Oryza sativa Japonica Group: one gene and its partners. The main gene of each other region encodes a partner of the protein of the gene in region 5 in a complex. Links are inferred from orthologs where the notes say so. Each region holds a gene or a part of one and is shown on either strand. Other genes may lie near its edges.

Region 1 (4,068 bases), on a different chromosome or scaffold from region 5:
CAAATATAAAGGCTCGTGGTATGCCAATGAATACTGCACCATAGCCCCCCAAAAGCATTCCTACTGTCGAGAACATATTTTATACGCAAATAATATACGAGTTACAAATTGTTTGAAAAAGCTCTAGTTTGCCACAGAAATAAAATCAAAGTTCCATGTGTCCTAACTAAAATTACAAGTACAACAAAAATCGGGAACAACAGATTTACTCCTTGAGTTATACGAAGGATTTTTAGAGATTTTATTTTTCAAAATTGAAACATCGACAAGTGATTCTGAAGACAAAGATTTAAGGCAAATAACATTAAATCATATGGCACATTGGATGCAAGGCAATCTGAAAATAAAAGACCATGCACCCATAAATGGACCAAATTTCCTTCAGAAACCTGACCATCAGAATTCAGAACACTATAAAAGAACATTCCTTACTTTAACCTCTAAATTGTAAAGAATTAAGAATCAAATGATCCTATACATTCAAGAGAGAATATGCAATTAAATCCTGCTCCAATATATCCTAATATTTCAGAAATAAGTATAGCCTTATTTTTTAAACCTGATGTTAAGTATCAGGAATGGATAGACAGATAGTAAGAACTCACCACATAATCCCATCCATGCTTTTCAGCAAATGCCTTTGCTGAATCTGCACTGTCAAACGTAAGCCCTGCTTCACCAACATTAGCATATGGATCTCCAGTAGATGTCCATCCCATTAATGGGTTCTCCCACCTATTATTCACACAAATGTTAGAAGGGGAAAAAGCGGCAGCAACTGAAATAGTAATATCTAATTGTATGCTAGAATGCTATATAATAAGGAGGTGATACATAAAGCTAAATGAAGTAAATGCATGAGACATAAAAGAAATGAAATAGACTAAGTACACACTGTTTGACCAAACCAAGGTGACCACCTCAATGAGAGGTCAAATGCATCAGTTGCAAGGCTTTCATTGTACAAAAAAAAGGGGGGGTAATCTCACGTTAAAGGAAAAAAAGAAACAGACTTCAATCGTCAATGAATTCTTCTGTTATGAATGTAAATCAAGTTTTAATATGAGACTATTTGTTTTCATTTGATATATTATTGAGGCAGTTCACCAAACAGCAACACAGGGTTTGAGGTAAATAATTCATGAAAATGAATCAACAATAACCAATAAAACAAAACTGGAAACATACTTTTGGGTTGACACAAAGTTGATTTTCCACCTCCCGACTTTGCCTGAACCCTGCTGAGATGCAGTCCTAGCGGGTGAATATATTACAACCTGCAAATACACAAGGATAAGTTGATCATGTCTTCCCAGCTAGGTAGTTGAAAAGCATACAGTGAGTCTTAAAAGAACAAAAGTGGCAGCAACAAAAATCATATTTTCTTTACAGTATAAATATTTAAACCTATCTGAATAACACAATCCTGTCGTAGGCCATTTAGAAGGCCGTTTACTGTATAAACACTAAAAGGTGGGGGAGACCACTTGTTAACAGTCTAATGATCTACAAGAACATAGATCACAATCAAAATATTTTCTAGGGCTCACTCTGTATAATAAATCTGCAAAAACATAAGATCTATTGATGTGTAGGCATCCTCTCTCTGCAGACAAACATAAGGTTGATAATACCATGAAAAATGTGACTGAAGTGGTGCTATCAGCATTGGGCCATATCATAAGATGCTTCTAAGCTCTTTGAAGTTAAGACGGATCTTTGAAACAACAGAAGAATTGATCATCAAACAATATTCGTATTAACGAGATTATGTTGTAGAGAAAACTATTTCATGGAAGCTCTGTTCCTCAGAAGTCAGAACAAGAAACTACCACTCTACAAGTAGGCCTCTACATGGATTTTGAGGTAATTACAAGAACTATGAAATGGTATGAAACAGACATTAGTTCATAGTCCAACAAGTTATCTAAATTCAATAGCTAAGCATTGCTAGCAATTTCATCTTTCTTTGTATGCAGTTAGTTCTATCAAATGTATTTTTAAGTTTGATGTACACCAAGAAAATGGATAAATAATAAGCATCCTAGCATCATCTAAACTCTGGTATGTACAGTTCTCTAACACCAATACTGTCAACTCTAATCACAAACAATTTGAAAGGTAAGAACATACACCTATATACATTCAGTCATTCACAGTACATAAACCAAATCAGGATAATTTGATCAAACTCTGTTGCCTCCAGCCCTCCACTAACATAATCTAAAGTGGGAGAACCCAACCTGGAGAGCAGCACATTCCTCCCAAGTTCTAAACGCAGTTCAAACCACACAAGCGTAAAACATCATCACCAAATTCGCATTTCTATCCACTCCACGATTCGAACGTCTACTAGCGATAGCACTGTAGTCCGTACGACGAGTTCACGACCCGACGCCTCCAGGCTCTATGCCTCTATCCCTAAACACGAGTAACGACCAAAACAACCCACCAAACCTGGACATCTCGAGCGATTCCCACACGGATCCGCGAGGGCTAGCCAATCTATCGCCACTACATAAATCAGAGGTAAGGTCAGCGAAGCACCGCACCTTGCGGCGGAGGTGCTCCTCGGGGATGCCGGAGACCATGCCGATCTCGCCTGGCTTGATCTCGACGAGGGCGTCGGACGCCGCCGCGGAGAGCATCCGCGCGGGCGCGGGGGACGGCGAGAGGAGCGTGCGCCCCAGGGAGGGGAGGCTCCGCCGGAGCGGGGCGGCCATCTCGTCGGAGCCGTACGCCGGTGAGGCGGATGGTGGAGGAGAGAAGGGGCGGACGAGAAGGCCGAAGGGGAAACACCGAGAGAGAGAGAGAGAGAGCACTTCAGAACTTGGGAGAAGAGACGGCTGGACCGAGGATATGTTGGAAGCAGCTCATGTTGGGCCAATCTTCTCGGCCCAGTGTTGTGGGATCCGATTGGTTTATGGGCCGGGCCTTGCGGCCCAGACTGGTGCGAATTCGATTTGTTTCTGTGTGCTGGGCCCAGTTATGGTCCAGTGGGTGATCTGCAGCCTTGGAGTTGAAGGCCCATACCGAGGTTAGACTAGCTCGTTGGGTTTTGGTCCAGATGAACCACTGACTTATCTGGGCCGGCAATGTTATATTGGGCTGCCTCTGGAATAATTCTTGATGGCCCTTTTGATAATTTATAGAATTCATTTTTCAGTTCCGTTATTTCAACTACACCGTGATGAAGTTCATCAAGAGCATAATCACCCATAATAAGTGTATTCAGATAATTTAATACACCATTTGGTCGTGAATATTTGATGGTTAGGCCGGACAATATTTGGATGGCAAATTTTACTACAAAACATCTAAATTTCGTGTAATTTGCTGATAGACATCGAAAAAACATTCACAAATGAAAGACATCTAAAAATACTAGTAATTTGTTAGAGAACAATATCGACTCAATTAAAAAGATAAATTCTTGAGAAAGACAAGAATGCCCCTAGAATCACATGCTTCAAACATAACGTTAAAGTACGAATTTAGAAATTATGCAACTCCAAATTTAGCATCACCCCAAGTACATCACTAGTATACGTGATATTTTATCTTCACCCTAGTCTCAGTTCAAAATCTTTTGACCGTGGGGGCATCCTTGTCTTTTTTAAGAACTTTTCTTTTCAATTGAGCCGAAAGTGTCATTTAGCAAATTATCAGTTTTTTAAGAGTGTCTTTCAGCCGTGACACGTTTTTATGATTTCTATCAACAAACACAAATTTTGAGTGTCCTATAGTTAACTTTACCTATTTGGATCTTACTTTTGAAACTTTAACTATCAATAGTCTTTGAAATGCTTAGTTTAAAAACAAAAGACTTGGTAGTATCAATGTTTTATGCCCATAATATAGACTAATTAAATTTTATAAACTTAATACTAATTGGCCGAAACTTGTTTTAAACGTTAACTATCTAGAAAACGAGGGAGTAAGTCTTTTGTATTTCGCCTAAGAATGAAAAGTGATTAACATTGTGTAGGAGGACAAATACGTATGACTATGATCACATGAAGTTCTGAAAAAAAAAAGATCACATGAAAATGCAAGATTACATCTCTA
Region 2 (4,164 bases), on a different chromosome or scaffold from region 5:
CTGTTCTCAATGTAAGTCCCATGACCTACATGCTTCAACTGGGTTATGCACTTATGTTTCAGTATTGTCTTTTTGTTGAGGTTTGAAATACAGATCAAGAGATAATTGTGATTTGGTTGACCGTCTGGAGGTGTAGATAACATTCATAATGAATACTACTTCCTTTGTGCTCGAATGTCCTTCCAATGCACGGAATTGTACTTGACATCTTGTGTTTATTCTGTTTCTATGCAGTCCTTTGATCTGGCAACTATGAAGGAAAATGAAATGGATTTTACTTCAAGCTTTGAGCTGAGGCTCAGTGAAAGTGGTGTATCACAATCTGGAGTAACCTGGTGCTATGGCATTATATTATGGTTTGACACTGGCTTTACGAACCGATTCTGCAAGGAGAAGCCAGTCAACCTCTCCACCTCTCCTTTCTCCACACCGACTCACTGGTCTCAAACTATCTTCACCTTTGAAGAGCCCATCGCAATGGCAAAGGAGGAATCAGCCGTTGTCTCATCTGCGTCAGTTGGCACAGATGAGTGCCCAGCTGTGATGATCAGATCCCGCATCAGCATTGTGAGGGCCTCTGAGCACCGCAGCATAGACATATCGATTGAAACTACAGGAATCAGCTCAGATGGCAGGAAGCGTAGCTGGCCTGTTCAGATCTTCAACCTGTGAGCAAGGAGCCAAGGATACCTTTGGGTATAAATTTTGTTTCGTGCTTTGCTCCTCACTGGTTTTGAGCAAGGATACTACCCACAGCAAGTCTTAGCTTTTGATTGGGTCCTCAAATCTCAATTTCTGTACGCTGAAACAGAACGGCATCCCCACTGAAGTTTTGTGCAATGGTGAGCCTGAAAACAGGCCAGATTGAAGCGCTGTGGAATGGTCAGGGTGAAAAAGTTCATGGGATCGAGACTGAGTTGCAGTTTTTTTTTTGGCTATTTCTGCACGTGAACTGAAAGATATATCTTGTAGTGATGTTTGAGATATGTATCAGTATTTTACAATGATATCAGAATTCAGATTCATTTGGATACCAGTTCACTTCAGTTTCTGTAAGATGCTCGGTTGATGTGAACCTGAAGATCGCACTATCTTCTAATCGTCGGTGTGTCGGTAGAACAAATGTTACTCCTATTTTTGCTGCCTTGCCATAATCAACTGCAAAAAACTTGAACAAATTTCAGACTCTGTTTTCTTCTTGCAGAAACTCAAAGCAAATTTCAGACTAACCCGGTTTCGAAAAAACAAAACAAAAAAAAAATTCAGGCTATTAGCTAATCAGGCCTTGGGCCTTAGCATCTTCGGCCTCACAGGACAGCACGCGGCCATATCTACCTACCAAATCCCGAATCTCGAGGCAATCCGACGGCTGGTGATTGGCAACAAGGCCGCGAGAGGATTCCGATACCCTTCTCTCTCTCTCCGAGCTCGAATCCACCACCACCACCACCACCAATCGGAGCCACCGGAGAGCGGCGGCGCAGCAGACGGCGGCGGCTGCGGGGGGCGAGAGGCCGATTCGCCGGAGGAGAGAAGGAGAGAGAGAGAGAGATGGCGTTCACGATGCGCGCGGTGAAGGTGCCGCCGAACTCGGCGTCGCTGGAGGAGGCGCGGCACCGCGTGTTCGACTTCTTCAGGCAGGCGTGCCGCGCCATCCCCTCCATCATGGAGATCTACAACCTCGACGACGTCGTCACCCCGTCCCAGCTCCGCTCCACCATCGCCAAGGAGATCCGCAAGAACCAGGGCGTCACTAACCCCAAGGTCCCAACCTCGCACCCACCCCCATCGATTTCATCCGTCTTCCCGATTTCGTCGATCTGCGCCTCGTGAATGAGAATTCTCTAGTGGCTTAACCAACTGCTCGCCTGCTCTCTCCGATCTGGTCTCTTCTGGTCCTTGGGAGTTGATGATTTATCGGTGTTAGGTGCTGGATCGGTAGGTTTTGATTAACCTAGGATTTGATAGCCTCTTGTTTGCAGCAGGGGATTTAGACTAACCTTCTGCCTCAAGGACAGTAGTATTCCGGCAGGTTTGATGCTATGTGGGCAGTAAATTGTTTTCACCGATGGTTGGTCAATTTCTATATCTAGACATCTGGATATCATTTAGTGATCTACTTTCTGTGACATAGCACATGATTATCTGAACTTCATTGCTGCTTCCATGTTATATTTATACTACCAGTATCAACAATGCGATTCACATTTGTCGATGGTGGTAGTAGTAGCTAGGGATATCATCTGTACAATGCGGGCTCTCACAGTTAAGACAGTCTAATGAGGTTTTTGGTCTTTGCACAATCTTCTGATAGGTATCTTCTGGCATTTTAGTTTAGACTAGAGAGAGCGGTTTTGTCGGCTGGCCTCCTTTGCTTGTAAAAATTGAGAAAATTTGTCAGTTTAATTGAGCAAGAGTGCTTATGAATACGATTCAATGCACATAATATTAGATCCATACCACCTCTCCATGTACATGTTTCTAGATCCCCTGAAGAAACATTTTCTTTTGTTATGATTTGCATCTTTGTAGGCTAACTATGTTTGCTGGCTTCAATTTGAATTACACTCATTTGATTAGGCCCTTAGGAAGACTTCACCTGAAGCATGCACTTAAACTAAAAAATGTTAATGTCAGTAAAAGGGATCTATATTTTTATCTTGGATAATCCAAAGCTGCATCAGCTTGAGTTGCAAGGATCAGAGATTGCACGCGTTGATTTGATCCAATATTTGAAGAAACCTCAACTTTGTAACAAAACGCAGCAAATTCATGTTTTGTTTTTGGATACCTTTTGTCGTTTGTTAGATTAGAGTTGTTACGATCACATGAATACTATTGGGAATGCTTCTGTTCCATACCTCAGGTTTGGTCCAGTCCTTGCTCGTATTGCCCAGTTCTCCATTGTATCTGAGTGCAGTAAATTCAGATGAATGCTTCTTTTGATCAAACGCCAATTTGAATTCATTGATCATCACAATCTAAAATGATAAATTTCTCCCTCATACCCCCTGTTTTGGTGATTGTGTTGCATTTGGGATCCCTGTATTATGTTGCCCCTCTTTATGTTAAGTACATTTTCTACCAGTGCAGAATTATCTTGTTGTTTGTAGCTTCTCATGACGCATCACGAATGACCTGAAAATTTGGTCGTTCACATTTTCTTTTTGTCTCACTTACCTTAATCCTTACTGTATCAATGCCTCATCTAAGCTATTTTTGTTTGCAAACAGGTCATTGATATGCTCCTGTTTAAGGGGATGGAGGAGCTGGGCAACATCACCGAACACGCGAAGCAGCGCCATCACGTCATCGGGCAATATGTGGTCGGCCAAAAGGGACTGGTGCAGGATATGGAGAAAGACCAAGGGTCCTCAGACTTCCTGAAGAAATTCTACACTAGCAATTACTCCTAATCTGTGCTGCAAACTCCTCCTCCTTCAGTAATACCCGAGAAGTGATCTGAATAAGACGCTGAGAACCCACAGCTTTAATTGTTTTATCACTGGAATCTTTTTGTTATTCTGCTTGATCCTTCAATCATCTGCGCAGTGTGGCGCTGTTGCTAGTGAATTGTTTGTAACTTGTAGACTGTACTCTGCAAAGTTGATGTTCATGAGTTCATACCGTGTGTCAATGGGTTCGAACTCATGTACCCAGCACATGACCATCACTCGTTTGTCGTGAAGTCATTGATTCGATTAATCTGTAGCATAAAAGGTCATGGCCATGGAAACAAATAATAAGTGTTGCCGTTCTCTAATATACTCTTGAGTAGTTGTGACTTGTGAGGTATATTAAGAATTCAGATGGCATCAGATGATCAGTATTCAGGTGTCCCTGTCTGCTTAGCAATTCAAGTTAAAATGGCAAGGATAAGGGGATTAGAGAGTAGTTGTGAACAAGAAGTTAATATTGCAAAGGATAAGGGCATGAGAGAGTAGTTGCGAGCAAGGTTAAAATCTCGACTCTGTCATGCGAATTTATGATCCTAATTAAGATGCTTGATTCCACAATTTTACGTAGGTAGAATTTACGATTTCACGGTTTTAATGTATACGATTATATTATATGGTCTGTTTGGCACAGCTCAGCTCTATCCCTGGAGCTTAGCCAAACAATTCCAGCTCCATTAAAACTGGGAGTGGAGATATGTGAAGTTTT
Region 3 (4,221 bases), on a different chromosome or scaffold from region 5:
GGAATAATTGCAAGCAGGTTGTCCCATCCTCCTCTCACACCTCCACAGTGCTTTTCAATCAATTCCTTAAGAGGTATGCTCATTTCCTCCTCGACAGTGCAAGGTTTGTTCACATGACCTGAGACACAGAATAGTTTAGTTCCCGAGTTATTCTTGCGTCCAAAGCTTGCAAACCATTCTGGACCACGCCTGAGAATTGTTGGAGACACAGCCACTGTTTCAACATTTGTGACAGTTGTGGGGCAGCCATATAGGCCAGCATTGGCAGGGAAAGGAGGCTTCAACCTTGGTTTACCTTGCTTGCCTTCGAGACTTTCCAGTAGGGCAGTCTCTTCACCACAAATGTAGGCACCAGCACCAAAATGTATATGCACATCAAAGTCATAACCAGATCCACAAGCATTCTTACCAAGAAGACCTGCTGCGTATGCTTCCTCCCGAGCTTTCAAAAGGTTGAGACGCTCATTCACATATTCACCTCTAATGTAGATGTAAGCAGCCGATGCCCTCATCCCAACTCCAGCAATCAAACAGCCTTCCAGAAGCTTGTGGGGGTCATGACGCATGATTTCTCTGTCCTTGCAAGTTCCTGGCTCACTCTCATCAGCATTAACAACAAGATAAGAAGGGCGTCCATCAGATACCTTTGGCATGAAGGACCATTTAAGCCCAGAAGGGAATCCTGCACCTCCACGCCCTCGAAGTCCCGATTTCTTCATTTCATTCACTATCCAGTCTGCCCCTTTAAGCACCAAATCCTTGGTTCTATGCCAGTCACCCCTCTTCATTGCACCTTTCAGGAAAGGGTCATGCTGACCATAGAGGTTGGTAAAAATGCGGTCCTCATCTTTGAGGTCACCAAAGTGAGTCTTCTCCGGAGGTGGAGGTGGTGGTGGAGGTTGTGGTGTGCTTGATGTAGTAGCAGCCTGAGTGCTGAATGATTTGCCAGCAGAATAAAGGCCAGCACCTGTTAGAGAACGAGTAGGCTGTGCTCTCGATAGATAATGGAGGTACTCAAGTGCAGCCTGACAAGAAAAAAAAAACCAATTTGTTATCACAGCTTGATCCATGAGATGTGATTCAGGACAAAAAAAAGTTTGTAGTTACTTTACTACAATACGCCAATACTTGTCAAAAGCAAAAGACTAAAGTAATCTTCATTTGAAAGCTGACTAAGTATCCAAGCAAGTGTTGAAAGAAGCAAAATTAAGAACAACATGAACATCAAGAAATGATCAGAAATACAGAATTCTGATGCTCTTGCCTTCAGTTTTTAACTAGTTAAGTGAACTAGAATAGAGTAATTAGAACATGGTGACAAGGATCTCTACTTTCAACTCAAACTTGCTGCTGCAGGTAAATGGTAAATCAACGAATAGAATGGGAACAATTTTGCAGATTTAGAAACCAAAATAAATACATCAAGTTCAAATATATCAGCCCATAAGTGAAACATGAATTATATATAAGCCCAGCAGGTGCCTACAATGTTGGAGCATTATTTTAGAAGTATCTAAGTAACAAGAGAAAAGATCAAATGCTCAGTTGGCAGCAAGTTGGTGTTTTTGATAATCTCATTGCAGCATAGAGCATACCTGTCCTGATAAAGGACAGGTTTTCAGTATCTGCAATACGATTTTCCTATTTGTAGTAGTGGTTTTATATGCAAAGTAAAAACTAAGTAAGCCTACGAAAGGCATAAAAGATAGTATCACTTTGAGGTGAAGTATCATTTGTTGTGTTCTTAGTTGTACCCAAAGGAGAAGCCACGAAATACCAATATCAAACACATTTATATCCCTACAGAATGTAGCATATTCATAAATGCACCATGTTTGTTTAATCTATTGAAATAAGATAACCACAATACTGGTATTCCGCTCGGGGCATCAGGGAAACACTAATATAGTAGAAAGAGTAAAGATCGTTTCGCGTTTCAATCAAGTAAAGGAGTGCAGCACATGTTTTCATCAGCAATATTGAATACAAAGAGGTAGCAACAAGCCTGTAACTGAATGGTCATCTTCAGTTCAAAAACGAGCTTTTGAATTATTGTTCTCTATTTCAATCAAGCAAAGGAGTGTAGCACATGTTTTCATCAGCAATACCGAATACAAAGAGGTAGTAACTAGTCTGCAACTGCATGGTCATTTTCGGTTTTCACAAATGAGATTTTGAATGGCCTATCCAAGCAATTTACGGCATGCTCCGAGTATCCACGACATAACAAGAAACCACATCCGCAACAAACTGAAACTCGATCCTAAGCATCAAGTCGTAAACACTTTACAGCCAGAAATCCCTACAGAACTAATACGAAATGCAAAAGAGACGGACATGGAGCCCCTCCTAACTGTCCATCGGCATTCCATGCTCTACATCGGTTACTCCTCTCCCCTCGACCTATCCTCTACTCCCGGAAGAAGAAGAGATTCGTCGCCATGCGCGCACCACCAACACACATCGACTGGTGCAAACCCTCCTCCACCCTCCCACAGCTCAAACCCGCTACGCGCACTCCTCTCAGATTCTCGCAAAGGCGGTAACAGCGTTCGCGCCCCTCGTGGTTGGGGGATCCAGACCGGAGAGAGATGGGGGGGAAGGAGGAGAGTGGAGAAGGGCGGGGATTCGGACCTTGCGATCGGGGGAGATCTCGGCAGATCTGAGCAGCGCTCGCCGCAGCGCCATCTCCGCCTCCGCGCTGCTCCTCCGGAGCTCTCGGATTGGGGAGATCGGGGGAGGATTGGGGTGTGGTGTGCCGGAGAAGAGAGGAGAGGAGAGAGAAGAAGGGAGACGAGACGGCTGCGTGCGTGGGTGAGCTCCGGGCCAAGAGGAGAGGCAGCGAGCGTGAGGCCAACACACGGACGCGCTGCTCCCTCCGACCTGGAGTGCTAGCTATTGGGCCGGAGCGGAGCTTGGCCCATAATACTAGTTGGGCCGTTGTGGGGAACTTCCAGCCCGTATTATTAGTTGGGCCGTGACGGTGCGGCCTGCCGTAGTTTGGTATTGGCCCATATGAGGCCCGTAATGCTAGTTGGGCCGGGACGGTGCTGTGGCGAACTTCCGGCCCATATTATTAGTTGGGCCTCAACGGGTGACGTCACCGCCTCACCGGCTACGTCCGGTTTCCAACCCCGGCGTTGGTCGGCCACAGGCGCCACGGCGTCCCGAACGTCTCCACCGGCCAGATCGTCTCGTCGGAGCAGACAAAACTGCCGGAGCTCCGGGGCCACCGCGTGTTCGAGCTCACCGGCCGCCGGCGGCGAGGACGGACCTCGTTGCAAATAATTTTATTCTTGGTGCTACCATTTTGTCATGCTCTAGTAAGCATGCATGCTAACTACCTTGCAATATTCAGATGAATTTATATATGTTTGCCAAATTTATCATCTGCTTTCCCACAGATTCATCCATTTCAATTAAAGATTTCCACATCAATATAGGCTGGTTTGTTTTGTGGCCTAAATTAGCCTTACCAATTTTTGTCAATGCTAAATTTTAGCAAATTTTGGCATGCATAATTTTGGTAAGGCAAAGTTGTGTTTGGATTGAAGTCAAAATAGCCTAAATTAACTATTTAAATGACTTATTTTCTTAGGCATGCCAAAATTTGACTCCAAACCAAATAGACACTAAACGCTATTAAAATTGTCAAATATTGGTAAGGCTAATTTAGACCCCCAAACCAAACCATCCCTATAAGTCATGAACTGCGCAATATGAGGCAAATCAACAAGATCGAACTACCATTTTTCATGCTCTAAGCACGAATGCTAACTACAGCATTCATAGAGTTCTTACTGAACATTTTCGCTAATATAATCGTGCGGACATTCAATTCAGATGAAAAACTCATAAATGTTTGCCAAGTTTATCATATAGTTCCCCACGGATTCATCCATTGCGATGGAATATAACAAGTCATAAACTGCACAAAGATGAGGCAAATCAACGAGATCAAACTAGCTCTTGGCCTTATTAGGTCACAAACAGACAGATGAACAAATGCGAACAAAAGCATCAGACAGAACACATATGCACACGTGCAAATATTTAAAAAAACACAACCCATAAAAAGGAAGCACATGCCTGCATGGCAATGCAAATCGACTAATCGGGCTCGCCGCCTACAGCGACGCCAGCGACGCCGTGGCGGGCTTCGCCGGCGGGTAGCCGATCCCGTGGCGGGTGGACGGGAACACGACGAAGACGACGCTGGCG
Region 4 (4,126 bases), on a different chromosome or scaffold from region 5:
AAAATCGTAAAAGTTGTAATGGCGTAGATCCAATTAACCCTTAATAAAATATCACTTAACCCATAAAATATAATTAGGAGAACGCTACACATCAGACATTTGATATTTTGCAAAAAAAATCAGACGGTGTTTCACCACATATAAAAAAAATATTTCAGATGTTTCATCACTCGTTGAATAATGTTTCACTAGAAAATGTTTCGGATGTTTCATTACTCGATGAGAAATGTTTCACCACTTGGTAAAAAATGTTTCAATTAGATAAAACAATGAAAAAACATTACTTGCAACATCAATACTCTACTCTGCAATATTGAATAGAACACATTGTACATCATGTGCAACATCCAATAAAACGAGGATGAAACACACGAATAAAATAGAGTGTAACAAACATATACAAAAGATTGCAATGCAACATCAAATCAAAACAAAATGAAACACCTTAATACAACAGAGTGCAACAAGCTTAACAGTAGAATGCAACATCCCTAAAACTCCAACAAAACAAACCTAGCTACCTCCATCTTCTTCAACTCCGGTCGTCGGCCCCCGAGGAAACCCACCTCCGTCGACTTCTTCTTCAACTCCGGTTGCCGGCCCTCTTCTTCTTCAACTCCGGCCGCCACCCCCCGACACCTACATCTTCTTCTTCAGCTCCGGCTGCCATCCCCTGACATCTCCATCTTCTTCTTCAACTTCGGTAAGCCGTGCCTCCGCCTCTCCGATGGACGGCGCCATGGTGCGACCTCACCGCTGTCGTCCTCTGCCTCGTCCACGAACGCCTCCCATGCCTCGTCGATTGGCGCCGCATGGCCCGCGTATGCCACACCTGGCGCACTGCCGTCAAGGGGGAGCAGAGCAGAAACTGCCGGAGCGCTGGCTCCCATGGATTCTCATATCGTCTTGCCCTCCGTCGCTGCCGTTGTGTGGCCAACACTGGTGAAATAGCAAGAGAGAAGAAATTAAAGAGAGAGAAAAGAAGGAATGTGTGGTGGAGATGTAGCTGTGTGTGTGGATAAGGACGACGTTCGTCCGTCCGGAAGCATTTTTCAGATAAATATCTTTACACCACCATGAATTGTATGGGACAATCGGGCGATAAATTAAGATGGTGAAAGGAAAATACTCTGTTTGCTTACAGACCAAACCCTAATGACCCCACAATCGTCCCACACCAAGCTCACAAGTCCCAACCGTCGCTTGGCGATCGGACGGCGTGGATCCAATCCAACGAGACCCTCCCCCAACCCTTGTCCGCCGCGTCTCTCGCCGTCGGTCGCATCGCACCCCCGCGAATCCCCCCCCACAGGCCAACAGCAAAGCAGAGGCGAAGGGAAGAAGAAGAAGAAGAAGCGGCGGCGGCGGCGGCCATGGCGTGGCGTGCGAACCTCTCCCGGGGCGTGAAGGAGATCCGCTTCCTCTTCTGCCAATCCTCCCCCGCCAGCGCCCCCGCGAGGTACCGTCCGCTCCCCCGTCTCCCCTTTCTCTCTCTAGGGTCCTAGACCCGATCTGAAGAAGAACCGCGGCGATTCCTTCCTTTCGCAGGGAGTTCGTGAAGAAGAACTACGGCGACATCAAGGCGCGCAACCCGTCCCTCCCCGTCCTCATCCGCGAGTGCTCCGGCGTCGAGCCCCAGCTGTGGGCGCGCTACGGTACGCGTTCTTTTTTTTTTTCCTCTCTTCTCCATGGAATCCGAGATCCTCTGAGCCGGTTCTTGAACTTTTTGTTCTTATATCTTTTGCGGCGTGAAATGTTAGGTTAGGATACCGGATCGTGTTGTCTTTTAGAGTTGGGCATCATAGGTTACATTGCTTATGTAAAATACTAGAATGTGTGAATGCTTGAGAAGGAATGGCACATTAGGTTGATTGCGATCTGAATGCTTTCTTTAAGGAAAAATATTTATAGAGAAGCATTAGGTTTGTCCAATGATATAATGCTAACACAATGTTGTTAAAAAATGGCCAAGATTTGGAGAAGGAGAAAAACAGGGGACGACAATGTGGACTAGCTGTAGAGTTATTGTTGTGATAGTAAGATCATCTGTTCAAGTCCACACTTTCCTGTGGGTTCTACTAATTAAAAACCTAAGATACATGGTTTCTCTCATATGTTCTTGGTATTTTTAGACAAGAAAAACATTCCATGACAATTGTGAGTGTTACTTCTATTCTGCTTGATCTGCCACAGACAGCCAAATGGTATTGTGCGTGCAGATGTTCAAATGAACTACTACATGCACTGGATCTGGATTTGGTATAACTTACTACAAATTACAGACATAGTGACAACTTCTAACTCAAGGCATAAACACAAAAAAAAACTGAATAGTCTACATGACTGTGAAGAAAATCTAGAGAAGCTTAGGGGATGTTTGGCCAACTTTGGGTTAAGACCAGCTCACAGGATTGACGGCTTAAAAGCCCAAAGCTCGCTTTATTTTGAAAATCACACACACACACACAAACTCTTTGTTGGGACTTGGGATCTTACTTATGGTCCATATGGATTCTTCCAATATTATTACGATGATACTCTGGGTATATTAAGGTTCCCTCTTAAACACCGGCATTTGTTTGGATGAATATAAATAAAAGATTGGGATAGATGGAAGAGTACCCATATGGAGTTGTCTATGTGAGCAGGTTGAATTGGTTGAACATAATGTGACAATACCTAGGGAACTAGGAAACACTCAGTTGTAGGCACCTACAGGTGGTGGAGGTGAGGAGAGGTAAGATAGGGAGGTTGCCTTATAGTTTATAGCCCAAAGCTAGTCTAACCTAGCAAACAAGGAGAAAATAAATATTTTCTGTGAGGATAAATTTCCTTTTACGCATTGGGATCGCTAAGATGGTTAGGATTATAAACTTATCATCCATCTTACCCAACCACGGCCAAAGGCATTTTCTTGTTCTCCTAATCCTAAGAGCTGGTCGTTCTTATTTCCAAGGGAACTGGACAATATTGCCAATAAGCTTATGTTAAAACTTGACCAAAGATCTCCTATCCTAACTCGATTAATCAATAACCATGGTTCAATAAGGTGCTAGGCACTAGTGGGCTGGCGCTTACCGCCTAGGGATGCCTAGCCCGAACGTCACAAGTAAATTCCAAGCAATTGGTGAGCATATTACATAAAACTTGAACAGTGGAGTACTAAAATAGCAGCACAAGAGCCCCCAGGGGTACTTAGCTGCCTAATGAACCATCTAATGCCTAATCAGGTTGGCAACTGGGTACCTAGAGCCAACTTTTGGAACACTGTCAATAACATTTACTGTAACCATTTCTTATGAACTTGATCATCAGTTTACTCGACAGTACTATCAACACCATCACCCTTCCTGTTACGTATACTCAATGGTGCAATCATCCTAGGGAAATCTGATTGGTCGTAACTGTCCATTGTACAAGGAAGTATCATGGCTTGTCAAAGCCACACTTTTTTTTAGAACACGCAGGAGATCTGCGTATCATTTCATTGAGATAGAGGAAAAAAGGTGGATGGCGTTAGAGATAAACTCCGACACCCACCCACCCGGAAGTACAACACCAACAAAACACACCCACAAGAAGCAAAACGAACCTAGTGCACTAGTACGACAGCCCTAGACAAAAGATCACGAAGCTTAGAAGCTCCTGGTAGGCACCAAAGGGCGCCCTCACTTGCAATGGCTTGAAGGACATCAGCCATGCTTGGGGTAGTGCCATTAAAAACACAGTTGTTTCTATGCTTCCAAATCTCCCAAGCGACCAAGATAATAAAGGAGTTGAGCCCCTTCTTCTCACTAGCAGGCAATCCCCTTATTGTCCTTGACCACCAACTGGCGAACCTAGTAGTGCCCTGGCTTGGAAAGTTAGAGTAGCCAAGCCGTTGGAGAACCAAACACCACACTTGCTGACTAAACACACAAGTGACTAGAATGTAATTAATAGTTTGCTGAAGCGGAACCTGGTTAGTAAGGCCGCAATGTTTTTAAACATAGAAACATCCCAAGTATATACTCAAATATATACATATGGACTCTATTCTGATAGAAATATAAAACAATATTTAATTTGGTGATGACAACTATAATATGGAGTGTTATTGATCAATTTGTAAAAACCAGATATAATC
Region 5 (3,944 bases):
AACTGCATAGTGCTAGAGATAAGCCGCCACAATGCTAAAAATGAGGCAATGCAATTACACAGCATTTCTTGGAGAAGTGAAGAATTCAAGAAAAATTGGCAGTAAATAATAGCCACAGGTAAGGTATAGTCAAGATTTTACCTGTGTACCAACCAAAAGGAAGACATCAGCTTTCTCAAGCCCAGCAATGCTAGTATTCATTAGGTAGTTAGAACGTAGATCCGCAGGAGGACTTGGACCATTTCCTTCACAAAGCACCTTATCCGAACCCATTTTGTTAACAAAATCTTTCAGTGCCATCATGGACTCTGCATCAGAAAGTTTACCAGCAACCCCAGTGATTTCTTCTGGTTTAACTTGTTGCAAAACCTCAGCAACAACTGCGAGAGCATCCCGCCATGTCACTGCCTTAAACCTGCCATCAGTACCACGGATCATGGGGTCGTTTAGTCTTTGCCTCTTCAGACCATCATAACAAAACCGTGTTTTGTCAGATATCCATTCCTCATTGATATCCTGCAAGTATCACGAAAACAGGAAGCTTACTCAGTGTTTATTTCAGACAGATGTGACATAACAGACGAAGGGAAAAAGTTTCATCAACACGCTGTTGAACATCCACAAGCTAGAATGAGGACAACTAATGTCCAAACGACCACACTGTAATTCCTTAAACATGTTTACTGAGTAGAAGTGTGTACAACACGTTTACTGAGTTAGAAGTGTGTACAACACGTTTATTTATCATCAGTGTTACTATGTACACAGCTGAAATTGGGAATGAATTGATCAATATGAGAAACATTACAAGATGTCCATATCTTTTAGCTCTAGGATCCGGACTGAGACAAGAAACAGTAAGGTGCATTACGAAAAATGATCCATTCATTTGTCTGTGGCTTGACTAATCAAAGAAAAACAGAAATACTCTACTAACATAGCAAAGAGAAATTTACCGAGTGAGGTGGCTTACGGCAAAAAGGAAACATGACACTGCCTCATGCATGCAATAAAGGCAAATGTAATCATAGGCATACAATAGGTACTATTCCTACTCCCTAGAACACATGACCACAACCAAATGATCCGATGATCCTAATGTAGATCATTACCAGCAAAAATCATAGAATAAGTCAAATTTACAACAGAAGTGGACAATAAGCGAACCTCATTGAGACGTGGAACGATACGCATAACTTCAGGACCTCTGCTGTCAACTCTAATGTTTGAACCTACTGCATCAGTAACATCAATAGTTTCAGTGCCCTTCAGCTCCCAGTTCCTAGCTTTAAATGCAAATGGCTTGGATGTAAGGGCTCCAACTGGGCAGATATCAATAACATTTCCAGAGAGTTCACTTGTCATAAGTTTCTCCACATATGTTCCAATTTCTTCACCACTGCCACGACCTAACATACCCAGGTCTTGAACACCAGCAACCTCACTAGCAAATCTGACGCACCTGCATTTTTCAAGAAATACAAAGTTACAAACCGGCCAAGGGTAGCTTGAAGAAGCAGCCAGACAATATTTTGTTTTGATATAAGATGATAAGCTACCACAGCATGAAAATATATCAGGAACATGTTTGGTCTCAAAGTTTGAACTTATCAAGTTTGTACAGACAGCTCCTAAATCTGTTGTCCAAGAACATAGTACTCACAGGAAGCAGAGGGAGCAGACAATAGACAAAACTGAACAGCAGTAAACCTCTTTAAGTGGATACTCATTCAAATCTACTGAAAAGCAAAAAAAAAAACATTACCTTGTACATTGGATGCAACGGGTCATCACTGTCTTCACCAATGGGCCCAAATTCTTGTCCACAACGGACCGCTTCATCTCAGTGAACCGACCACGGTCAGCCCCAAATGCCATAGACTGATCCTGGAGATCACACTCCCCACCCTGATCACAGATTGGGCAGTCCAGCGGATGATTCATCAACAGGAACTCCATGACACCCTCCCTGGCTTTCTTTGCTACTGGCGTGTTTGTCTTAATCTTCATCCCTATTACAACAAGGCGCTCCAACGTTAAGAACTCCTGCAAATCCTACTAGATAAACGCACACACTCTACTAATCATTCAATTAGTCCAACTATCACTAGCCAATATAGACTACAGGCAAATCTACACAAAGATGGATCCGAGAGACTAAGGCATTAACATTTTGCAAACCACACCAACATTGTCCGTTTCAAAACCCAATTCAACAGAGAGTAATGGCCGCGAAGCGCGACGCCGCGTCCGCATCGAACTGCTCACCTGGAAGCGCGGGCATGGCGCAGGAGGCGACGGGCTTGGGCGACTTCTCGACCTCGACGAGGCACATGCGGCAGTTGCCGGCGATGGAGAGACGGCTGTGGTAGCAGAACCGCGGGATGTCGACGCCGGCGACCTCGCAGGCCTGGAGCACGGTGAACCCCTTGGGGATCCGCACGGCGTGCCCGTCCACGAACACCTCGAGCGCGTCCTCCGGGTTGCTGGGGAGCTCCACCCGCGCCCCTCCCACGGGCTCCCTGGGGGGCGGCGTCTCCGGGTCCGCGGGCGCCACCGCCGCGCCCGCCTCCGGCGACCCCGCCGCCGCCGTCGGCGAGATCCAGCGGCACGACGCGGCGACCGCGGGCGGGGGAGGAGCGCGCGAGCGCAGGTACGGGCTGGAGTAGCGGATCGCCCTCGCGAAGAAGGCCATGGCGGCGACGGATGCGGCGGCGACGGCTGCGGCGGCGGCGATGGGATCGCGGGGAGGTGGGAGAGGGGGGGGGAGCCTCCTGCCCTTGGCTGGTGCGGCGAGGTTGGAGGAGATGGATTTGTGAGAGAGATCCTCTCGTACCTTCGGTGCCACCGCTCCTGTGTCACTGACATGTGGGTCCATGGCTCGTCGGGCCCACGTGTCAGTGACGGAGTAAGATTGAGGGGAGATGCGGAGCGAGGTGAGGCGGGTCTCTCGAGTGTGTGTGGTGTGGTGGTGGCCGCTGCTACGTGTCCCCCGAGGTTTTGGTCAAGGTAAGGTGCGGTGTGAGACTGCATGTGGGGCCGGAACGCAGGGAGAGGGGTGGGGTGCGGGATGTGTAGGGTGGGGCCCGGATGGCAGTATATGCTTGGGCGTCAACGGGGGAAATGGGCCGGAGCCGGACTCCCCCAAAGTGGAGACCCAGCACAGTTTGATGTGGTTGGTTCTCTTCTGTCCATTTTGGATGTACATATTTAACCCACGCTATTCTTTTTCTAACCTGCACAAAAGATAGTACGACATTTCGTATTTGGTATAGCAAAAACAATTATAACAAAAACCTCATTGCTGAGAAGAAAAAAAATCGACAGCTGACACATCTAACTCCATTCACACCTTTGGGCTAAAGAGGATGAGAATGAACGAGAAGATGCCGCCCATCAACAAGGGTTATGTGTACTTCACGCCACAATTGAAGGTTTGGTTGAAATTGGAATAATGTGATGAAAAAGTTGGAATTTTATGTGTGTAAAAAGTTTTGATGTGATGAAAAAGTTGAAAGTTTGAAAGAGATATTTCGGAACTAAACCCAGCGAAGGCCATCTTGTACCAACTAGCCGTCACCACAAGAGGACAATCGGAGTGAGACTTGTACACTCGAGCAAGGACCAATGCCTGTTTATGTCAATTGAAGTCCTCGATTGCTTAAGCGGCAGCTGATGATGTGTCAAAGGATTATCTCCTTTTGTTTTCCAAATATTCTACCCGGTGTCGATTGCTAGTTTGCTACCCCTATTGAAGTCTCTTTTTTTCCCTTCTTCTTGATGATATGACACCGGCCGCCAATGTCACCTTCTCTTTCTCAGCACATAACAAACAGCTGCCTAAACAGTATTTAGGCCTTAATAAAATGATCAAAGCAGTACAGTTGCGTCATGGCGTGCTGCATTCTTAAAACGAGTAAAGTATAATCCAACAAGTGACACGC
Region 6 (4,191 bases), on a different chromosome or scaffold from region 5:
GAGTAAAACTTGTCGCTAGAAATATCAAAAGAATTATTTCGTTCAAGAGCAAAGCTTACAGGAGGGGTTTCTCCTCTTTTCAGCATCTCGACGATCTCAACAACTCGTTTAGGAGTGAGGTCCTCCTGAAAAGGGGAAATGGAAATGCTCAGTTACAGTACACAAATAAGTCTTTTCTTCCTCTCTCAGCAAAAGGCAGGCAGGTTTTGTTAAGTTTTATCCACTCGTCTTTTGTTACTCTGTTGGCATTAGTGCTTTCAGTGCCACAGTACTGCTATAGCATGGAAGTTTAGCAAAAAAATGTAGCTATGTTAGCATTATTTCTCCAAAGACGCCTGCTAAGAAGTATAGAAACCCAGGGGCCCAGCATCCTATAACATGCAAGTTTATATTCTTCAGTTGACAATGTTTCATTTTGTGCATAAACATGAACTAACACGAGTGGGCACCAGCTGCTAATTCTTACTAATGCTGTGATGTTTCTACTAAAATTTCCACCGCGTGTACTAGCATAAGTCATCAACAATAGATAATCGGATGCATCAATGTGTATACTTACATAATAGTTGTATGTGTAACCCTCTGAACCTTTAGAATAATCGGCCACAGCAATCATGGGAGCATTCACACAGCAGCCCTGTGAACATATAACAGAAAGCTGAATAAAAAGTTGCCTTGTACTTATGTTTTTTCATTAGAGTACTGAATCATTCACTGACAAAATCCTACAGACCATTCCTATTGGCTATAGTTAAACACTTAACTCAACTAGAACACCTATTTGCAAGCATCCAAAATGACAGAAAATTATAGATCTCGAAGTTACCATGCACTCCATTTCTCCAACAGAAAATAAACCATCACTGGTCACCTCTGCAAATGAAAGAAAAATGTTAATGCTATCACAGAGATAGCAAGAGAAACACATGCTCGAAGACCGTTTGTGGTAACAAATCAGGAAGTGTTATTCTTAGTTGATAGGATAAGTTATGTGAATAATACAAACCATTCCGTTTAACTCCAAGATGTTCTAACAAGGCTTCTTCAATTTCACGTGAACCACGAATCATGCAAGGTGTGGTTCCACACACCAAAAGGTGATATTTACCCACCTACATGGCAAAATAGGGTGAAAAGATGCTAGTGGAGGGATTAACAAGTACAAAATACTAAGTCATGCAAAGATACCTTAGTCCGGTTAAACATTGTGTAAAATGTAGCAACTTCATATACTCTGATTGGTGCAACTTCAACGATCTTAGCAATCTGAAAGTCCAAGACATGAAAATAGTATTGTCAGAAATGCTTTTTGTGAGCACAGTGGTGGTGGAATGGTGGTTGGGTCTATGTACAAAATATCTAAAATGTAACATAAGCTATAACACTCCCAGTAGCAATGTTATTGTAATAGTCCTAGTCCTGAGGAGATTAACTCAATTGTAATTATAATTATATAAATATGTCAACTGATATGCTGACAAGAACTTTTTCTTTTGTGATTGCCAACCCCCATTCTCCAATGCCTCTTACTATTAAGGCTCCTAATTTCCTAGTGTCACCCATCTTCAGTAGGACGAAGAAGTGAACAGAAACAAGGCCAGTGCAATAAGGTTTTGATTTATGAATGTCTGCTAAGCAAGTCCAATATAACTATAGCTAACGTGGGTTGTAACAACTAACAAATGTTGAGGTACATCACTTTCTGAAAATTGAAGTATTGAAAACAGGATATAGCACATTAAAGGCGGAAAACAGTTGATCATCGAAAGCTCATAAAAAAGGGACTTACAGCATTCATTGCTGCAACTGGCACCCATCCACCATGCTGCTGCTGGGCAAGATCAAGCATTGGAATAATACCAGACTGCTTGTAGTTGCTTGGATAGTGAGACAATATCTCATTAACCTGAATTAGTTATTGAAATAGAGATTTTAGGCCAGATAACCAAAATAGCTGATACAATTGATATAAACCGTATTCACAAAACCTAAATCCCATGTCAAAGGAATAGAACACTATACCCCACGTCTCTATTACATTTGGACATTTGCAGATTTGCACATTTCTAAAGGTTTTACATGACAGATAACGTTTCCCCTTCTCAAATAACCAGCAACCAGTTCCAACGTAAGATTATATTATTATCTAATAGTCCTGAATAAAATGGTACCCTAACAGCCATTTCTGAACATCCGAAAACAAAACTGAACAAATTCTGCCACAACTACTCCAAAACCAGCCACTGTTCCAATCCAAAACATAAATCACAGGGAAATGAATGAACGAGACGAACAACAGCACCTTCTTCATGTTGGCCTCCGTGAACTCCCACGGCATGTCGGGGTTGTTTTCCGGCGAATCGAGGTGCTGCACAACAAGCAAACCCACAAATCCGACTCATTATCATCCTCAGACAAAACAGACAGATCAGGGAAGAGGGTAGGGGGTGGATCCGAGGGAAGGGGGAGGCGCCTCACGTACGTAGTTAAGCGCCGTGGAGAACAGCCTGGAGGAGCAGCCCGCGGCGGCGTAGGAGATCTGCAACGAGACGTTGCCCCCGGAGGGAGAGATCAGGACGGCAAAGCTCCGCCGACGAACAGCGAGGAGATACAGAGGCATTTGGAGGAGGGGGAGGGGGGCACTGACCGGAGAACGGGACAAGCGTCGCGCCGCGGCCGATTCCGAGGCGGAGGAGGTCGCGAGCCCTAGGAGGCGGCGGGCCGCGAGGCGGGCGGCCGGCGGCAGCATGGTTGGCCGGCGGTGGGGGAGGCGACTCGACTCAGGCGAAGAGGGGGGAGGGGAGCGGAGTTGTGGCCGCTCGCGGAGGTAAGTAGCTCGGCGTGACGTCAGCAGCACCGGCCCAGTGGGCTCTCATGGGCTTATTGACCCAATCGGCCCAATAGTAATAATTCCTTCGTGTACTGGCAATTATAACGATCTTTTTTTTTTTGGTTGGGCAATTATAACGATCTACTGTCCGGATTTCGTAACAATAGGATTCTGATATATCATACTTCATACTGGATTGTTTATTTTAGTACGGAGGAAATATACCGGTAGATCACCAATCTTCAAGCAAAATGAATCGTCCTATATATTATAGGCCGAGTTTAGTTCCAAACTTTCAACTTTTCCATCACATCAAAACTTTCCTACACACAAACTTTCAACTTTTCCGTCACATTATTCCAATTTTGTGGAGATTATGGATACCCCATACCAACACGGCATTTATAATCCGACTGGGTATGGGGTGCCATGTATAGATAGAATATCTTTAAAGGGACTTGGGTTAAATTCCAAACTTGTATGTTAAGGAAATACCCGGGATCTTAGTCGGTTAAGATTGAATCTTATCTGTAACTACCTATTCCGTTAGGGATATGGACTGTATTTTATAATACGGACCCCTTCCCCTATATAAGGAGGGGTCCAGGTGCCTCTTAGGGCACGATCTGCTCCCAGATCATACGATCAATAATACACTCGGCAAATCAATCCCCGGACAGGAGTAGGGTATTACTTCTTGTTAAGAAGGCCTGAACCAGTATAAAATTCTTTGTTTCTCAACCCATCCACTTTTCCAGCTTGATAGCCACCCCCTTTTAGTATTGCCAAAATCTTGTTTCGACAATTGGCGCGCCAGATAGGGGTAGCGTCAAGTTCTTCGCCGATTAGTGCGATGGGTTTCGTCTCCGGCATCGACGACTTCGTCTTCCCTCCCGGGCAGGCGTTCCGGTTCGGCAGCCTCAACTTCTTCACCAACGACTTCGGCAAGATTTCTCTTCTTGACTCGGATTCGAACCAGTCGGGAAGAGACCAGGTTTCCGCCCCGTTCGTACCCCAAACTTGGCCGAGATCTACCCCAAGATCATCTCAACCGAGTTGGCCCCAAACCACTCGGACGAGATCCAATCTACTCCAACACGACCCGATGAAGACAATAGAGCCTATCCGCCAATCCTGATGAAACTCCTCAACGATTTGGCTGTCGTTTTCACCACAAGAGCGTCATCTCCCCGTAGGTCTAGGCGGGATCCGCCCTGGCCCCGATCCAGTCTAGCTCTAGGGAAGTCGGTGTCATACTCCAGCCTCTCGGCACGGTTTCGACGAAACAGTTGGACGGCTACCTCAGCTCCCCCGGTGTCGACTCACGACCAACGGAGATCGTAGAGTACGACGACTTCGGC
Region 7 (3,949 bases), on a different chromosome or scaffold from region 5:
TAGCAACAATTTTCCTTTTTCCCTTTTTTTTTTTTGGCGAGGAGTCTTAGCAATATTTTCACTTTTCAGTTCGATGCTTTTTTTTCCTTTTTTTTTTTTTACAACGTCCATCTTTATATGCAACACAGAAGTGTCGGTCTGGAGTGTTTGAACTAACCTGCATCCGTCACAAGTCTGAAAAACAGAGGAAAACACAGATAACCGTAATGAATCTGGCAAAGAAATTATCTGGATCAGGTAATGACAGAATAAGTAAAATATTTGGGCCAGGTAAAACTGGAAATCCTATAACTAAACTAGTTTCGCAATTGATTCAATTTTGATCTCAGGTTGTCAGATTCGCAGAGCGGGTAATTAGATACAGAAATTGCATAGACTCAGAAAATGCAACAGATGCCAACTAAAGAAAAAGAAATCCACTGTTATTAAAGCGGGCATTATTATGTCATTCAAAGTACGATGATCGTCAAAGATATCATCATCTTGCCATCAGGCAGAATACATGACACGCTGACTGGAACATTTTAAACCAAATACACACATTCAATTCCAAATTTCAGTGTGGTGAAGGACTGCATCTTGTCTTCTCAGTGATGGTGATCTTGAACAAAACGGAGACCACAGTACTTGCATACAGCAGGCTGGTCCAGGTCAAGGCAGATATATTCGATCGGATGGCCGAGGGAACCAGTTTCACGACCTGTAGCAAAATATGAACAGGTCAGCCTGCAGAAGATTGCCTCATAGGTATAGTTTGGAAGCAACAATACAGCCAAAGCGCAAATACAAGAATATATATATACGACTAGTTTTGCAAGGCTCACCTTTATCCTGACGCCCATCACAAGCAGCAATTCGTCCTTCAACCTTGATCGGAGGTACTGCGTTGATCAATTCCATTGGGGACTTCTTGCTTGTGTCCTGCAATGAATAAAGTAAATGAATGAACATAATTTAGAAAATGAGCTCATGATTCAACAAGTGCTAAGGTGCAAATATTGCATAACCAACTCATAAACTTTATCATGGTCTGAACCTGGTATATATACAAATCCTAAAAATTTTGAGGATATGGGGATCACTTGCGTCGCAGATGATTTATAGATTCTTACTCAGTGCAACAACGAACATAAGTCTTTAACACTGTTTTAAAAGGCAATGATTCACCTATTCACTGTTTGTGTATGGTTTGACTAGGCACCACCATCCTGCCTAGTGCAATCAGAACAATAATCTTTACTCAATTAAACTGGTGGCTCATCACCTATTATTGGTTTGCTGGCTCCTGGTTTACTGAAAGCCTAACTCAAATGGATATTCATCATTTAGGCCTTTTCTGGATGGGCTGGGATGGACCAAGACACCAGCCTATCCACGCAGAAGTTCAAGTAAATTCCAACCATCTAAAGCCTACTCAGCAAATGGGTGAAAATATATACACTAAAAGCATGACAAAACAATGTAGGCAGTGAGCCTGTGAGTGACATTATAATTAATTGAAGGGGATATGTAATTTTCCGACTGAACATAAGTTACTTTGATACAAAATCATATGATGCACATCTTGTGAGAACTACCCAATAAGGTCATGCCACTATCTACCAAGGCAAGCACATTTCATCAAGATAACGGTTCTCTTAAATACGAGAGAATAAGCATGCATATTACAGATGAGGCTAGCGCAACTAATTTAAGGACAGTCGAGTGACTTGAGTCTGCAAACCTATAGCAAACAGTACCTTCCTTCAGGGGAGGATAACATCCAATAAGATGCATGAAAAATTGACAACTGCACTAATAAAACATCGGTTCCACTCCTGAGTCACGAGCTGTGTTGATATGTATTAACCACCTAAACCCTATGTTGGCATGCTTAAGGTAACATGGAGTATTTGAGTAGGCTGTCACTAATCAGTAGTATGTGTTTTCCTGCAATTAGATATCGTTAAATAACTTAACAGGACTCCTCTCATAATCTAGGGATGGTGCCACTGTAGGAATCAAGGCAGTAGAGCATGCAGGGTATGCATCTTACAGAGATATGAAAATGAACCCATAGACCCTTATCTGTCTGCAATGTTATTATGACAAAGAATCCCAGTGCCTAAAAACCAAACCATCCTTCCTAAACAGCCTAAACTCCATGCAATCCATTTACAACATGCTTTACATACACTCGTACAAGCAATACACCTTTCAAACCTGAACATGGTCTTCAGATCTAAACAAGAAAACATAAGAAAAGCTATTGGGGGGGGGGGGGGGGGGCAAAAACACTTACAACTTGCAGAAACAAATACATGACTATGTCCATCAATTAAAGCGCCCAGGCTGACCTAAATAGGGAAAATGGAATTGATCATCGCGAGCTACACGCCTACACAGCGATTGCACGCAAAATCGAGAGCCATAAACGCACACGTCCACATGAACCTAAAGAAGACTAGATCCCCCCCCCCACCCCCCCCCCCCACCGAATCGGGGAGCGCTACACGCGGGGGCGGCCGGGCAGGTTATCAGGCTCGCGAGAGGACCAGGGATCCGACACACCCGGAGAAAGGCTGTAGGGCGGCGAGGTGGGGGGTTACCTGCATCCACTTGGCGGTGTGGCTGCCGACGACGGCGGCGGCGCCGACCGCCCTCTCCGTGGAGACGCCTCGCGCGGCGCCGTTGGCCGCGGGTAGGGACTTGCGGAGCGCCGGGAGGAGCAGACGTCTCGCGGCGGTCGCCATGGCCGATGGGGGAGGAGGAGCTGTCTGCACGAGGGTCGAGGGATTTCGGGAGAAGGGAGGAAAGAGACGAAGTTTTTTTTTTCTTTTTGTGATGGATTTAGGTTATCTCTCGAAATAGGCCCGGCCCAATAAGGCCCATTTACACAATTGGTTGGGCTGGTCATACTTCGGCACTGCATTGTGCATGTGGCCCCGTTCGATGTGATTATAATCTTGTAAAACGAGAAAAATCATTAACATATGATTAATTGAGTTTTAATTATTTTAAATTTAAAAATAGATTTTTTTATATATTTTATAGCAACTTCTATACAGAAAGTCTTAAGCACGGAATGCACCGTTTAACCATTTGAAAAATGTGTTGACGAAAATTGATATAAAATCTGTATTTTAATTAGAAAAGAACGAGACAGGTGTAATGCACTTGATAAAGAAAGCACGGCCCAGATTGATGATTACAGAATAATGCCATATTTTTTCTTTTTATTGTTCTTATAACATTCAGAAAGAAAACGTTGGCACGTGCACAAACTCAGCAGTAAGCACGCTCACATCACTATACATTTTCGGATTTGTTGAGGCATCAAGGGGTTTACAAAGCATGGGCGTGCACTATCTCGATGAATGCTCACATTCGAGTTTTCATGTTGGTAGACACTAGTGTCAGGTTTAAAACTTGTTCATGTTTGTATTATTTTGACCATTAAGTTGATTATTATTATTATCATCATCTGGAGGAGTATTATCTTTAGACAGCAACCACTTATATTGTGCATTCTACGCAAATAGGATTAAAATATTCCAACGATTTTTTCAGTCTGATACAAACCATGGTACTAGTAGCCCTATGGTTGTAGGATAGCTTTTGAGGTAACAAAAATATTTGATTTTTCAGGTATTTAGCATGGCTTTCTCTAGCCTTTGAAGGCTTGCGATTTTATCTGCCGGAATTTCCATGTTAAGGGTTATGTAGGATTTATACGGGAATTAAACTAATAAATGTGAAAATCCTAAAAAATTTCTACATTCGAAAGAGTCCTAAGCTTTTTTTTTAAAAAAAATAATATAAAACGAGTTCATACCGGTTGAACATGCAAGACCTCGGATTTCCTCCTTAAAATCTTAAATCAGTTATTTATAACAACAAGTTTGGCAGTTTGCTTCGAGATAAGATCTGCTTTTAATAAAAAGGTGTAAATATGTGATGGATAGTCCTT

What was found.
Region 1: the proteins of NADH dehydrogenase [ubiquinone] iron-sulfur protein 1, mitochondrial (region 5) and NADH dehydrogenase [ubiquinone] iron-sulfur protein 4, mitochondrial are in contact, whole or in part, in a cryo-EM structure (PDB 7AR8), measured with the Arabidopsis thaliana proteins. The link is inferred for Oryza sativa Japonica Group from reciprocal best matches to the Arabidopsis thaliana genes EMB1467 and FRO1. Residues at the interface, in NP_568550.1 of Arabidopsis thaliana: Gly61, Gly62, Ala63, Arg64, Val65, His66, Lys87, Gly88, Phe89, Thr90, Gln93, Glu96, Val97, Asp101, Arg104, Tyr107, His108, Ser109, Leu111, Ser112, Ile113, Ala135, Gln175, Glu178, Cys179, Asp180, Asp183, Asp266, Lys288, Ala289; in NP_201560.1 of Arabidopsis thaliana: Ile55, Tyr57, Ser58, Pro59, Ala60, Arg61, Thr62, Ala63, Thr64, Gln65, Ser66, Ser68, Leu71, Val79, Thr81, Leu82, Lys83, Glu85, Thr92, Asp103, Lys126, Lys128, Lys129, Asn131, Thr132, Pro133, Leu134, Leu135, Lys136, Val137.
Region 2: the proteins of NADH dehydrogenase [ubiquinone] iron-sulfur protein 1, mitochondrial (region 5) and NADH dehydrogenase [ubiquinone] 1 alpha subcomplex subunit 6 are in contact, whole or in part, in a cryo-EM structure (PDB 8BED), measured with the Arabidopsis thaliana proteins. The link is inferred for Oryza sativa Japonica Group from reciprocal best matches to the Arabidopsis thaliana genes EMB1467 and AT3G12260. Residues at the interface, in NP_568550.1 of Arabidopsis thaliana: Trp361, Arg362, Leu365, Ser621, Pro645, Thr646, Ala650, Arg651, Asp652, Trp654, Lys655, Ile656, Arg658, Ala659, Glu662, Val663, Asn671; in NP_566416.1 of Arabidopsis thaliana: Lys120, Thr121, Phe123, Leu124, Phe127, Tyr128, Thr129, Ser130, Asn131, Tyr132, Phe133.
Region 3: the proteins of NADH dehydrogenase [ubiquinone] iron-sulfur protein 1, mitochondrial (region 5) and NADH dehydrogenase [ubiquinone] flavoprotein 1, mitochondrial are in contact, whole or in part, in a cryo-EM structure (PDB 7AQR), measured with the Arabidopsis thaliana proteins. The link is inferred for Oryza sativa Japonica Group from reciprocal best matches to the Arabidopsis thaliana genes EMB1467 and CI51. Residues at the interface, in NP_568550.1 of Arabidopsis thaliana: Gly115, Asn116, Cys117, Arg118, Leu121, Lys129, Pro130, Ala135, Met136, Pro137, Lys153, Ala154, Glu156, Gly157, Val158, Glu160, Phe161, Leu162, Met164, Asn165, Arg194, Phe195, Glu197, Met198, Arg200, Ile219, Gln220, Ile239, Gly241, Arg242; in NP_196470.1 of Arabidopsis thaliana: Gly225, Ala226, Gln243, Lys245, Leu248, Pro250, His399, Glu400, Ser401, Cys402, Gly403, Gln404, Cys405, Thr406, Pro407, Arg409, Glu410, Gly411, Trp414, Met417, Ile418, Arg421, Met434, Glu437, Val438, Lys440, Gln441, Ile442, Gly444, His445.
Region 4: the proteins of NADH dehydrogenase [ubiquinone] iron-sulfur protein 1, mitochondrial (region 5) and NADH dehydrogenase [ubiquinone] 1 alpha subcomplex subunit 2 are in contact, whole or in part, in a cryo-EM structure (PDB 8BED), measured with the Arabidopsis thaliana proteins. The link is inferred for Oryza sativa Japonica Group from reciprocal best matches to the Arabidopsis thaliana genes EMB1467 and AT5G47890. Residues at the interface, in NP_568550.1 of Arabidopsis thaliana: Lys397, Asn401, Arg402, Met403, Gly404, Asp406, Asp418, Ala419, Asp420, Leu421, Arg422, Tyr425, Leu563, Asp564, Gly566, Gln570, Arg679, Lys681, Ser682, Val683, Pro685, Asn686, His689, Glu692, Glu694, Pro695, Ala696, Ala697, Phe698, Ser701; in NP_199600.1 of Arabidopsis thaliana: Lys12, Glu13, Arg15, Leu17, Leu18, Gln20, Arg29, Val32, Glu33, Tyr36, Lys37, Lys40, Ser41, Lys45, Leu46, Pro47, Ile48, Leu49, Ile50, Arg51, Glu52, Cys53, Ser54, Val56, Trp61, Arg63, Met66, Gly67, Glu69.
Region 6: the proteins of NADH dehydrogenase [ubiquinone] iron-sulfur protein 1, mitochondrial (region 5) and NADH dehydrogenase [ubiquinone] flavoprotein 2, mitochondrial are in contact, whole or in part, in a cryo-EM structure (PDB 8BED), measured with the Arabidopsis thaliana proteins. The link is inferred for Oryza sativa Japonica Group from reciprocal best matches to the Arabidopsis thaliana genes EMB1467 and AT4G02580. Residues at the interface, in NP_568550.1 of Arabidopsis thaliana: Val203, Lys205, Val225, Ser229, Gln235, Asp236, Leu237, Gly238, Ile239, Leu240, Gly241, Arg242, Gly245, Glu246, Glu247, Gly249, Thr250, Tyr251, Val252, Glu253; in NP_567244.1 of Arabidopsis thaliana: Asn33, Tyr34, His35, Leu36, Val90, Met93, Ala103, Ile105, Arg106, Tyr108, Glu109, Thr112, Phe113, Tyr114, Ser115, Arg119.
Region 7: the proteins of NADH dehydrogenase [ubiquinone] iron-sulfur protein 1, mitochondrial (region 5) and NADH dehydrogenase [ubiquinone] iron-sulfur protein 6, mitochondrial are in contact, whole or in part, in a cryo-EM structure (PDB 8BED), measured with the Arabidopsis thaliana proteins. The link is inferred for Oryza sativa Japonica Group from reciprocal best matches to the Arabidopsis thaliana genes EMB1467 and AT3G03070. Residues at the interface, in NP_568550.1 of Arabidopsis thaliana: Pro167, Leu168, Asp169, Cys170, Pro171, Ile172, Met198, Lys199, Arg200, Ser201, Val202, Val203, Asp204, Val214; in NP_566191.1 of Arabidopsis thaliana: Ile69, Ala71, Pro83, Ile84, Glu85, Phe86, Ile87, Cys88, Asp90, Leu91, Lys98, Tyr99.

The regions. Positions count from the first base shown.
Region 1 is NC_089041.1:24,023,868-24,027,935, forward strand, and holds the start of NADH dehydrogenase [ubiquinone] iron-sulfur protein 4, mitochondrial, read right to left. Parts: upstream 2,801-4,068; 5' UTR 2,724-2,800; coding exon 2,553-2,723; intron 1,278-2,552; coding exon 1,189-1,277; intron 736-1,188; coding exon 606-735; intron 1-605.
Region 2 is NC_089041.1:26,863,243-26,867,406, forward strand, and holds NADH dehydrogenase [ubiquinone] 1 alpha subcomplex subunit 6, read left to right. Parts: upstream 1-1,364; 5' UTR 1,365-1,551; coding exon 1,552-1,764; intron 1,765-3,233; coding exon 3,234-3,416; 3' UTR 3,417-3,795; downstream 3,796-4,164. Other genes in the region: probable protein arginine N-methyltransferase 3, read left to right, coding at 1-11, 235-672. UniProt on the Arabidopsis thaliana protein: Accessory subunit of the mitochondrial membrane respiratory chain NADH dehydrogenase (Complex I), that is believed to be not involved in catalysis. Complex I functions in the transfer of electrons from NADH to the respiratory chain.
Region 3 is NC_089041.1:27,139,177-27,143,397, reverse strand, and holds the start of NADH dehydrogenase [ubiquinone] flavoprotein 1, mitochondrial, read right to left. Parts: upstream 2,801-4,221; 5' UTR 2,689-2,800; coding exon 2,635-2,688; intron 1,026-2,634; coding exon 1-1,025. Other genes in the region: protein DMP2, read right to left, coding at 4,128-4,221. UniProt on the Arabidopsis thaliana protein: Core subunit of the mitochondrial membrane respiratory chain NADH dehydrogenase (Complex I) that is believed to belong to the minimal assembly required for catalysis. Complex I functions in the transfer of electrons from NADH to the respiratory chain.
Region 4 is NC_089038.1:14,301,477-14,305,602, reverse strand, and holds the start of NADH dehydrogenase [ubiquinone] 1 alpha subcomplex subunit 2, read left to right. Parts: upstream 1-1,326; 5' UTR 1,327-1,373; coding exon 1,374-1,459; intron 1,460-1,548; coding exon 1,549-1,655; intron 1,656-4,126. UniProt on the Arabidopsis thaliana protein: Accessory subunit of the mitochondrial membrane respiratory chain NADH dehydrogenase (Complex I), that is believed not to be involved in catalysis. Complex I functions in the transfer of electrons from NADH to the respiratory chain.
Region 5 is NC_089037.1:29,731,586-29,735,529, forward strand, and holds the start of NADH dehydrogenase [ubiquinone] iron-sulfur protein 1, mitochondrial, read right to left. Parts: upstream 2,801-3,944; 5' UTR 2,696-2,800; coding exon 2,269-2,695; intron 2,013-2,268; coding exon 1,766-2,012; intron 1,463-1,765; coding exon 1,168-1,462; intron 517-1,167; coding exon 142-516; intron 1-141.
Region 6 is NC_089039.1:25,329,404-25,333,594, reverse strand, and holds the start of NADH dehydrogenase [ubiquinone] flavoprotein 2, mitochondrial, read right to left. Parts: upstream 2,801-4,191; 5' UTR 2,750-2,800; coding exon 2,648-2,749; intron 2,540-2,647; coding exon 2,483-2,539; intron 2,369-2,482; coding exon 2,303-2,368; intron 1,907-2,302; coding exon 1,790-1,906; intron 1,267-1,789; coding exon 1,189-1,266; intron 1,113-1,188; coding exon 1,007-1,112; intron 874-1,006; coding exon 827-873; intron 638-826; coding exon 560-637; intron 126-559; coding exon 60-125; intron 1-59. UniProt on the Arabidopsis thaliana protein: Core subunit of the mitochondrial membrane respiratory chain NADH dehydrogenase (Complex I) that is believed to belong to the minimal assembly required for catalysis. Complex I functions in the transfer of electrons from NADH to the respiratory chain.
Region 7 is NC_089042.1:3,659,159-3,663,107, reverse strand, and holds NADH dehydrogenase [ubiquinone] iron-sulfur protein 6, mitochondrial, read right to left. Parts: upstream 2,801-3,949; 5' UTR 2,733-2,800; coding exon 2,589-2,732; intron 922-2,588; coding exon 825-921; intron 701-824; coding exon 588-700; 3' UTR 402-587; downstream 1-401. UniProt on the Arabidopsis thaliana protein: Accessory subunit of the mitochondrial membrane respiratory chain NADH dehydrogenase (Complex I), that is believed not to be involved in catalysis. Complex I functions in the transfer of electrons from NADH to the respiratory chain.